Lytechinus pictus: one gene and its partners. Each later gene encodes a partner of the first gene's protein in a complex. Links are inferred from orthologs where the notes say so. Each region holds a gene or a part of one and is shown in the gene's direction. Other genes may lie near its edges.

The links.
Region 2: condensin complex subunit 1-like (region 1) and condensin complex subunit 3-like share a complex: the UniProt entries of both Homo sapiens proteins name them as parts of the condensin complex. The link is inferred for Lytechinus pictus from reciprocal best matches to the Homo sapiens genes NCAPD2 and NCAPG.
Region 3: condensin complex subunit 1-like (region 1) and structural maintenance of chromosomes protein 2-like share a complex: the UniProt entries of both Homo sapiens proteins name them as parts of the condensin complex. The link is inferred for Lytechinus pictus from reciprocal best matches to the Homo sapiens genes NCAPD2 and SMC2.

Annotation. Positions count from the first base shown.
Region 1 is NC_087258.1:13,124,388-13,128,146, reverse strand, and holds the start of condensin complex subunit 1-like, read left to right. Parts: upstream 1-1,300; 5' UTR 1,301-1,407; intron 1,408-3,759. UniProt on the Homo sapiens protein: Regulatory subunit of the condensin complex, a complex required for conversion of interphase chromatin into mitotic-like condense chromosomes.
Region 2 is NC_087256.1:26,511,846-26,515,604, forward strand, and holds the start of condensin complex subunit 3-like, read left to right. Parts: upstream 1-1,440; coding exon 1,441-1,468; intron 1,469-2,849; coding exon 2,850-3,042; intron 3,043-3,759. UniProt on the Homo sapiens protein: Regulatory subunit of the condensin complex, a complex required for conversion of interphase chromatin into mitotic-like condense chromosomes.
Region 3 is NC_087255.1:14,795,662-14,799,420, forward strand, and holds the start of structural maintenance of chromosomes protein 2-like, read left to right. Parts: upstream 1-1,452; 5' UTR 1,453-1,561; coding exon 1,562-1,729; intron 1,730-3,466; coding exon 3,467-3,616; intron 3,617-3,759. UniProt on the Homo sapiens protein: Central component of the condensin complex, a complex required for conversion of interphase chromatin into mitotic-like condense chromosomes.

The DNA of each region.
Region 1 (3,759 bases):
TGGGGGGTCATATCCTGACATCATTGTGGAAGCGGGGATAGTCTGTACAAAATATACCCTATATTTCAAGTTTTTTGTTAGATGAGACACGCATGACATATTGATCACTATAATAATGAAACACTAGGGCTTCATGTTGTTACGACAGCATATCATCCTAAGAATTGTATTTGTTCTTCATAGGATACTTTTAATTGCATTAATTGATAATTGACGCAACAATCTATGTCAAATGTGAATTTTGCTCCAAATTTGAACGTTGCATCATCCCCCAATATAATTTTCAATATTATTCAAAATTTTTCCTTTCTGCGATATTTTCGTTGTCATTTGCATCATTGCCATTTCCGCATTTTTTGAAGTTTATCGGATGAGTTGCCATGAGATTCATTTCATAAGGCATTATAATCGTTATATTCGCGATAATCATGATCCTATTTTTTTATATTCTCAACTCACTAATTTTAACTAGTGAGCAAATGAGTTTTCATTGAATAAATCTCGACTGTTTGATCATTATTTTTATAATATAACAACTTTATATCTATTCTACCTTTCGTTTTTGAAAAATTACCCCTGCTATATATCCTCTGCACATTGTCAATTAAAACGACTGAAGCAATTTTTTTAAGGCACTCGATCACGTTTGCTCGTCGCAATTTTCCCTTGAAAGACGTTTTTCAATCATCCTGACTTCATTCCAACTACTATTTACTGTAATTAAGTATATATCGATCACAACAACAGTAGCCATTGTCATAATTGAAATAGCTCAAGGTAACTGTCACCAATAGAGATGGTAATACTATGTACAAGGACATAGCTCTTGATGTGGTATAATTATTGCACACTTGAAAGACGTTTTTGGACCCCGGGTTTTGGACACCATTCTGTCTTCCAAGTACTAAAAATTTGCTCGCTCACTCGCATATCAATATAAACTGCATTAGATAATTTATATCACAAAAAAACTCAAATATACTAGCCATCGAAAAAACAATCATGATAATGATGGTATTGTACGTTATAATTTATATACCCCCGTGTTTTGGGTGTCCCCAAAATGTTGAAATTTCAGGTCAATATATTGCAATCATTCCACCCATGCTCGGACTGTATAGTGACAAAACTGACTACTAGTATATGCTAGTAAACAATTACTGTACTGTAAAGTAACTTTATAGTACAGTAATTGTTTACTTGCATTGTAATTCTCGAGTTTTGTGAACGACTTTTACCGAAATAAATTTTTGCTGATTGTGCGATACCATAGTTCACAAATCGAGCGTTCTGATTGGTCAGTTCTCGTTCATTTTTTTACAATACAATTTTTCCGCGGATTTTGAAGCCGTTGATGCGGAATCCTTCGCCTACGGGAACAACATTTTGCCGTTTTCATTCGTGTTGGTTCGTATTTTTGTTCACCTTTTCATCATATGTATTCTGTCTTAAACTTTAATTTCAAATGTGAATGACTGGTTTTGATGGAAAGTAGCTTTATTTCTGATCGTTTCTTCTACAGCCCGGCTTTGAATTTGACCGAGTTAATGTTGGCTTGATTGGGAGGGCTACGCAGCCTCGAAGGCCAGCCGCGCCCCGAGCGAGGCGGCGAGGCAAGGTTGGGGGTATGAAGGTGGGCCCCGCCATGGCCCATGTCTGCGCACCTAATTATTTAACCTCAGATTTAATATAGATTTCAATTTACTTCACAAAACTTTTTAGTTGATAATGTTCCTTATATTCTTATGAGTAAGTGTGCAAAAAATCTCATAAAAATTTGAAAAAAACAAGATTTTCTTAAGTTAATGATTTATCATGGGAAACAAAACTCAAATTTCAAAAGTTAACTTAAAGTTAAAACCAGGCCGAGGCCCGAGCCAGTCATTCACTTTTTTTTGGTTTCAGATTGAACAAAAAATTGTGCCCCATGATGTCTGTGCACAATAAAGTCTTTACACACGATTCAGCTCAGGGATTTTGATGAGAAAGGCTGCATATCAGTAGAGACTAGAGGCGCAAGGCAATATGGGAGACTCCAATAGAGGAGACAATTTCCCACATTGGAGACTTGCTTTGCAAAAGGACAAAAGAAACACCAACAAAAACATGATTTTTTCCACCCAAAATTTTGTCTCGCTGAGGTCAGAAGCCCATTTGTTTTGTGTGTGATTGACAACAAATATCCTTATCAAAACAAAAGTAGACGGTGAATTTTTAAAGTAGACGGTGAAAAGGGGTAATTTTTCATGAGGAATCTGCTTATCACATTTTTATTTGCCGCCAAGGTAATCCTTTTGCAGCAAATGTAAACAAAGGAAATTGATCTCCAAAACTGGAGACTGTGTCTGAAATTGGATACCCAAATTCTTTACAAAAGTCTCTGATATTGGAGATAATCTCCCACATTGGAGACAGTCTCCAATATTGGCCATGCGCCTCTACTGCATATTGAGGCTGTCGGCGTCACATGAAATGCTGAAAATTTCTGGAAATGGCTAAACTTAAGAATTCATTTTTTTCCACCACTGAGTCAGGTTTTTTAATGAATACCTTTCTTTCTAAATTCTATGAATTGCATCTGTAATTGTAAAGTTTGTGGCGAGCTATGGTGGTTGTTGCATATCTTCTTTTAGAATCGCGCAGATACACGTGTGCGCAGACACGGCCAGGGGGACCTTACCATACATGTAGGATACGTAGGCCAGCTTGATTGGCGATGTAGAAAGTTCTAGACTTAAAAATCTGCTGTTTCGCAGGAGTTTTTATACATTTTCTGATTTCTTTTTAGTCGTCCTGCTACACAGACTGGAAGTATCCCATAGGACTCATAGTGCTGGGGTGGTATTCTGAGATAAGCTTGTAACCGATTTTGCAATCGGCAACCGATTCCATTCGATTTCACCACAATCGGCAATCACTTGCCGATCTTCGATCATGCCCCTTGAAGGAAAAAATCGAAAATAAAAAATTGGCGTAGATCTGGTTACAGTGCGTGATCGCTCAGAACATATTTCAAGATTGTTTTTGAGGTGCTAGCTATTTGGAGGTCGCATTATTCAGGGAGAAAGACGCGGTATTATCTATGGCGATGTTTAAGAGGATAAATATCTTCTCTTCCAACTCATGGTGATAGCGGATGCCGCCGTGAACTTTGAAAGGTCGTATTACCGACGGAGCTCACTGCGCTACTCTCTTACCCCCTTTATAATGATATAAATCTTCTCTTCAACCTCGTGGTGATAGCGGACCCCGCCATAAACTTTTAAAGACTGTACTATTGACGGAGCTTATTACGTTACTCTCTTACATCGTTTATGATGATATACATTTTATTTTCAACCTCGTGGTGATAGCGGACCCCGCCGTGAACTTTTAAAGGTCGTATTACCGACGGAGCTCACTGCGCTACTCTCTAACCCCGTTTATAATGATATAAATCTTCTCTTCAACCTCGTGGTGATAGCGGACCCGGCCATAAACTTTTAAAGACTGTACTATTGACGGAGCTTATTGCGTTACTCTCTTACATCGTTTATGATGATATACATTTTATTTTCAACCTCGTGGTGATAGCGGACCCCGCCGTGAACTTTGAAAGGTCGTATTACCGACGGAGCTCACTGCGCTACTCTCTAACCCCGTTTATGATGATATACATTTTATTTTCAACCTCGTGGTGATAGCGGACCCCGCCATAAACTTTTAAAGACTGTACTATTGACGGAGCTTATTGCGTTACTCTCTTACATCGTTTATGAT
Region 2 (3,759 bases), on another chromosome or scaffold:
TTTGAAGACTGTGGAGAATCACAATCTACAGATGTGTTTGAAGACTGTGAAGGATCACAATCTACAGATGTGTTTGAAGTCATATTATGAGATGAGCATATGAGGGAGGATAGATGCTCATTAACGGCAAAATCTTCTTTGCCAACTAATTACAAATTTTGGTTGAAACGATGAAACTTGGCTTTGTGGCCATACTGAGAACAAGAGTTACACTGTAATTTTGATTCATATCTACAATTTCTCTGTTTATGGTTGAGTTCACCACAGTTGTAACATCCTGTATAGGAAGGATGTGGAGTGGCAGAGGATTCAATCTGAGTTTTTGGAGTGTCAATTATATGGGAAGAAATTGCACAACCAAACAGTCTAGCGCCTTCAGCGTTCAAGTGGACGCCATCTGCGGCGAGATGATTTTCAGGATCTATGTTCAATAAACTTCCAGTTCCTTCGCAGTGCCATCTGGTGAAGCAGCTAGTTTGCCTCGTAGGTTTTCCATTCAAGTTCCTTTTGAAAGGTCTTATGAGGGATGATGGAACTCAAGACAATTGTTGAAACAGTAGAACAGTTAGCTAAAATCTGATCGCCAAGAGATTCAATCTGTACAACTAACATGCTAGGATCAGCGTTAATCAAATTATTGGTTCCGACATGAAGAATAACTACTTTTGCATGGTATTTATTTGCAAGATGATGGGCATGTTCGAAGACATTCTCTACTCTGGCACCAGGGATAGTTTTACAGTAGACTCGATTCTTGTGATTAGACATTGACAATGGTTTAAGATGTTTAATTATCGAATCACCAATCACAAGGGTATTGATTTTCTCATCGGAAACGAATACACGATCAGATTCAATACAATTTAAATTCTCACTGGTATGAGACTCATGAGTAAATCTCACACTATGTTTGTAACGGTAATCATGAAGTTGCTTATCGAAATCTTATGATGTTCGGAAAGCTTCGTCATTCCCACTGTGGGTTAGTGGTACTGGAACGGGAGGTGGGTCTTTTTGAGGATGGTCATCTGAAGGATGGTCATTTGAAAGACAAGAAGTGTTTTCATTGGGGCTGTTAAATATCTGTGCATGACTAGATTGAATAGCTTCAAGCAAGCTATTTACAAGGGATTTGAATTGCTTGAACTCATGTGCAAGATAATCCAATTTTTCACGAAGATTAACATTGGAAGTTATAGTTGCTGTCTGCGCATGAGAATCATTTGACGATGAGCAATGCTCGGCACAAGAGTCGAGAACGGGGGAATCCTCGGTGGGTTGTGAATCATCCATAGAATCCTTTGTGTTTGGGTAATTACATGGGGGTTCCACCAACACTGGGCATTCATCCCGATGTATTGGATTAGAAACTTTGGAGGTCAAGGGAGGATAATCCGTTTCGCACCTCCCTTCAATAGGATTAGTTTCGGGCTCCGTATAATGGTTGCTAATGGCAACGCTTACATCAGTTTGGCAACTGTTGTCATGGTGTTGCCTAACGCTCGGCTTGTAGCTTTCTGGACGTTTGGGGCGGCCATTTTGAAGAGATATGATACTAAAATGGCGGGCTATATCCTGGTTTAAATTAGGATAAATAGACCCCAATTCAGATGTAAGATAGTCCACAAGTTCATCATCTAAAATAGCATCAGTAATATCATGAATCAGTAGATGTGAAAGAACTGCGTCAATACTTGAGATTGTTATATGCTTTGGTAGTTTACATCTAAAGTCGTCCGAACCAATGGTTCCATGGCAGGAATTAGTTTTTATCTTCGTGCAATGTTTTGATTTAGTCATTATGAAGCTTCAGTATCATATGAAGAAGAGGATATTGTTGAATTCATATAGTTAAACATGCACAAGATGATAATATGTTACCTGGTGTTACGAGGGTAGACAAATATAACAACGAAGGATTAGCTCGGTTTGCGAATCCAAAAGTGTGTATGGGACTAGGTGTGTCCAATACATCGTTCTCAGGGTCACATAATGTCGAATTGATGATATCCAAAGTATGGTAAAGTCCCAAGAATAAATCCACAATGATACAAAACAGCACAGAATATATTCTGGAAGCAGAAAGAGTATTATGATTTCCAAGTATTGAAAGTCACAAATTGTAAAAAAGGTAGATTTAGAGCCAAAAAGCAGGAGCAACGAATAATTGAAGTGCAAGCAGAAAATCGTAACACAGCTATCACCACAGAACGTTTGCTTTCTTGGAAATGATGAATCCAGAAGTGTGGGAACTCTCAACAACTAATTCTAACTCTCGCTGGACAACGATCCGGGTAAATCTGAACTTTAAAAGCAAACGAAGACACCTGAAACAATGCAACGAGACGAATTTGTACAAATCATTTGAAGGAGACAATTGGTCCACATTTAATACCATACGTAGTGCGAGATTTTGTAAAATTTTTGATCAGGGTTGGCCAGATTTGGAAATTGGGACGGTGAATACTGGCAAACTCCGGTAAATACTGCCTTTGCTGGTCTTTGAGGAAAATGGAAAATAGTTGGAAATACAGGGAAATACTACAAACTATACTTCTTGAATATTTTCAGGCATTGTCTCTCAGCATATTCTAGCATTTCCTTGTACATGCACTCCCTGTACATCTGAAATATTTCCCAGTGTTTCCAACCAGAGCGGGAAATACCAAAATTTCCCCAGGAATTGAACTGCTTCATGCATGCCCTAATGAAATCCATAATTAGGACTTGCGTGAACACAAACAAAATCTTTCGTACATAGTTAATTGATTAAAAGCCCTCATAAGAAATGGATATTGCAGAATAGTTTTTTAAACTTCATTGTCAACCATGTTATCTTTGTAACCTAGACATTGTCAAGGACATCTGCTCTGGTAAGATGCTTCAGAGCTGGCTTAGAGCCTTTGATGGTAATGCCATTGATCTTCTCAAGCGCTTGGATGTTGAGAACTCCTGCGCTACCGCAGAGCTCGCCCTGAAGACCATTTTCGAGAAGGTTCCCGTCTCGGGATTGGTGGAGGACTTTGATCTACTGAATGAAGAGTAAGTCATACCAGGGGCCCGTCTTAGAAAGAGTTGTGATTGATCCAATCAATTGCAACTATGGAAAGCCAGCAAAGTCAACATATGAAATGCATGTTTATTCAAAGATTGTTCTAGATATGAATGTATATCCATAAAGTCATTGCTTTCTTGACAATTTGGTGTGTTTTCCTTTGTTTACAAAGGACATTGTGCAATTTCCTGTAGAAAAAATTAACACAATGATGGATTTCCATAGAGTTACAATTGATTGGATCAATCGTAACTCTTTGTAAGACGGGGCCCAGGTGGGTGTTTCATAAAGCTGTTCGTAAAGTTACGAACGACTTTACACATGTTCTTAGGTCATAACTCAATTACATAGGGATATCACAGAGCACAAGAAAGGATCACCAGTCGTTCGTAAAGTCATTTATCTTACGAACAGCTTTATGAAACACCCACCAGGAGTCCTTCTTTAAAAGAGATGCTATCCAATCAACCTCAACTATGGAAAGCCAGCAACACCCACATATTTGTTCAAAATGTTTTCTCGATATGTTTACTCATACATTCATTGTTGTCTTGACATCTTAGTGTCCCTCCACTTTGTTACCAAAGGACATCGTGCACATTTCTGGTAGTAAAAGTTATGACATTTCTGGATTGCCATATAATTCAGGGTGATTGGATCAATCACAACTCTGGGACCCAGATTAGGTCCCCAGGATATGCTTG
Region 3 (3,759 bases), on another chromosome or scaffold:
TCCTCACAAAATCAAAAAAGCTTTTATTTGAATAAAAAAGTAGAAAAAAATAATTTAAAAGTACGTTTAATCTTAAAAATTGGATATGAAACGAGGTAGTTCTGACAGTGTTTTACTTAATTCACAAAGTAGTTTTATGCACAACCTGGTCGGTATCCAAATGACGTACCGATGACGAATTAACTCAGTGACTCACTATTTCTTTTGTTATAATAACTAACAAACATTTTCTCCTCACTTTTTCTCCCTGACAATTGCCACTCTTATAACACATGTTAAATTCGATGAAGCTAGAGTATCATTATTGTCAAATCTGCAAAAAGAAATAATGTATAATAGTGAGTGACTGATATCGATTCTCCATGATGATTACCACTGTGTTTTGCATAACTTTTTAAAAATAAGCGAAATTCCATAACTTTCTTATTTTGCATCCGATTTTCATCAGCATGCTTTGTCTCTTTTTACTCAATATTGTTGGTGTGAACATTATTTTTAAGAAGCGTTCAATTCTAATTAACACAAAAAGTCACAATTATTATATGATTTGCATAAATGAAACAAAATCTGAAAAAGAAAAGTTTACATTTCATATAGGATAATATTTAAATAAAAACGAGCTAGGAAGGTAATAGGTAGTCCTATGCTGCATACTATAGGGCATCATTTTTTAATATATCATTTTAAAGGACAAAAGTTAATTTGAATTTTTAAAAGAGAACACTAGAATTTCATCATAACCAGTTGGAATTAATAAAAAAAAATATTTTGTCAATAATATACTTTAAATTTGCTTAATTTCACAAAATGTGCAGATATATCGTGCACGTAAAAATCCTGTTCTGAGTCTGTATAGAAATGAGGGGACTGATGACGTCATTTATTTTGCTTTTTTTTTAAAGATTATATATTTTTATTTTCTCTTCATTGTCCATGAAACAAACTTTTTATTCCTCCCTGAACATATGTCGAATATTGTTTTAACATTTCATATTGTTCAGTCAAGTTGGTTCTCATTGTCAAATCCTTACAAATGAAATAGGGCCTAAATATTGTATAATTCACACAACAAATTGAGGAAATAACAAAATAGTGAGTGCGGGACATCATCGTACACCCTAATTTGCACAATGAGTTGTCATGAAAACTGTTTTGTAAAAAATAAGCGAAACTTTAAAATGTCACAATTTTCTTATTAACTCAAATCAACGTTTTCTGGCAGCGTACGTGGACTTGAATTTTAAACAACCCCGACACAAACTTAAACATTTTTTTTGGGGGGGGGGGGTGTTTGGTGAGAGTTTAGTTACTTTATTAAAATATTTAAACCCGACCGAACAGAAAATTTCCCAAAATATTTACTAGTATTTGAATCATTGTGATGGCGCAAGACAAAAAAACCCAACATCATAAACAACAACTGCAAAGCCTGCCTTCGAGCTTCGCGCATGCGCAGACGTCAACCGCCAAATAACCGGGCGCTTTGAACGGAGCGGAGTGCAGTGCCGCAATACAACTTTTCAAAATATTATTTTTTGGGACTAAATCTCAGGAATACAAGATGTATATCAAGGAAATAATCATCGATGGATTTAAGTCATATGCACAGAGGACGGAAATCAAGGGATTTGACCCTCTCTTCAACGCAATTACTGGATTGAACGGTTCTGGAAAGTCAAACATCCTCGACTCGATTTGTTTTTTGTTGGGGATCTCCAATTTAACACAGGTGGGACTAAGGCTATTTTCGATGTGAAAACTGAATGTTCTTTGAAAGTTTGAGTTTGAATGAGATCCAGACAAATAGGCAAATCACTCGTTTATGAAAATTTTGAACAAAATTTACGTTAGACCATAATTGGCCCCTTATTTAGATTTTTCTATGCCAAGCTATGAATTTTAGCCTAAGTTTGTTACTTTAGGCCTAGATTTTTGGCATTGTCCGGATTTGTCGATCAGATCACAACTTCTCAAACATGAAACAGATCCCATGAATGATGAATTGACATGATGAAAAAGAGGATTAGCTTGGCGGCAAATAAAAATGTTATAAGCAGATTCCTCATAAAAAAATCACCCTTTTTTTTAGCTTTTCACCGTCTACTTAAAAATTCACTGTCTACTTTTGTTTTGATAAGGTCTAGGATTTTTGTTGTCATCCTCACACAAAACAAACGGGCTTCTGACTAGCCAGGACATGCAGGAGGCTCCTGGAGAATAAGAATTATTCTACTAACATAGGCTTACTCTCCACGGAGCCAGGAATTGCGTCCCGTTCATGCGCGTGTGCACCGCGAAAAAAACTGAAACTTTCGCCCCCGAGATTTCTACTTCTAAACGATCTAGGCCTAGCCCACTTCCACTTCCAAACGCGGTTCGTGGTGCGAGGTTAGTATACTAATACTAACCTCGCAATACGTGTGAGTGGGCCTAGCCCTAAATCATGTAAATGAGATACAACTTCATTTCCGACATTTCTACGATATTGATTTCATTTTTAAACAAGAATTCATTAAAAAAACCGAGAAAAATATGAAAAGACGAGGAAAACTTGCCACCGCGGTTATGTCGCCATCTTGTTTTCTTTGTCTTTCGCCAAGACGACAGCATGCATATCGCGATATATGCAAACAAAGGCGCACTATTACTATATAGTCTGAAAATGAGGAATGCATGTCCTCGCGCCTCACAAACCAGTAGAGGTGCTGGTCGAAAAATTGGGATTGTCCCAGAAAACAAGGATATCCTCATAAACCAAGACAAATCATGTCTTGATGAATTGAGACTGTCCTTGTATGGGGACATTTTTTTTTTTTCACTTACTCCTTCGGGACATATTAGATGGCAATTTGGGGGATTGAGAGTGCTAAAAATAGATTCAGTGGCCTCAATTCCCCTACATGTAGTTCACCATCTATTTTTCACGACTTGCTGTCTCAATAATAACAAGAATAGAGTCAATAAAAAAAAGAAACAAAACTATTCAAGAATTTGAGTGTGATATATCCGAAAGCCATGTATTACTTTTTAAGATTCTTGTATCCTCATTTCTGATAACCCATTTTTGGCAAAATGTGAGAATTTTGAATATATGGCCTCAATAAAATTCAATAAAAGGCTGATTGTCATCTGGGTCGTGCTGTCTATGATTGCTGTCGTATTGAGCTGAGATATTGTGTAACGGGCAAGATTTATTTTTAAAATATAGTTGCGAGTGAGCAAAAATTTCGACATTTTCTATACAATAGTCTGTGATAAAATTCGACATAATAAATTCAGAAAATAATTTGCGATTTCACCCTTCTCTTTTTTCTTTTCCTTTATCTGTTTTTCTTGGCGGTGATTTTTTATTTTATTTTTTTTATTATTTTTTTTTTAGGGGGGACAAGTTCCCCCAAGCCCCCCCCCCCCATCTGTATGGTACTGTATATGATTGATTCATTGATCCATCTTTTTGTTGTACTAGGTTCGAGCTGGCAGCTTACAAGAACTGGTGTACAAGGGAGGCCAAGCCGGTGTCACAAAAGCAACTGTCACAATAGTCTTTGACAACAGAGACAAGAAGCAGAGTCCAGTAGGATATGACAGCTTTGATGAATTCACAGTCTCAAGACAGGTAATGATATCATGGGGTCGTTTTCACAAAAACTATTATCCCTGCACAATCAATAGCAATTTTGAGGAATTCAACTGTTCTCAATACACTGGAAAATTTACCTCAAAATTTTTGGCCATCAACTGCAACCTTTATCAATGATA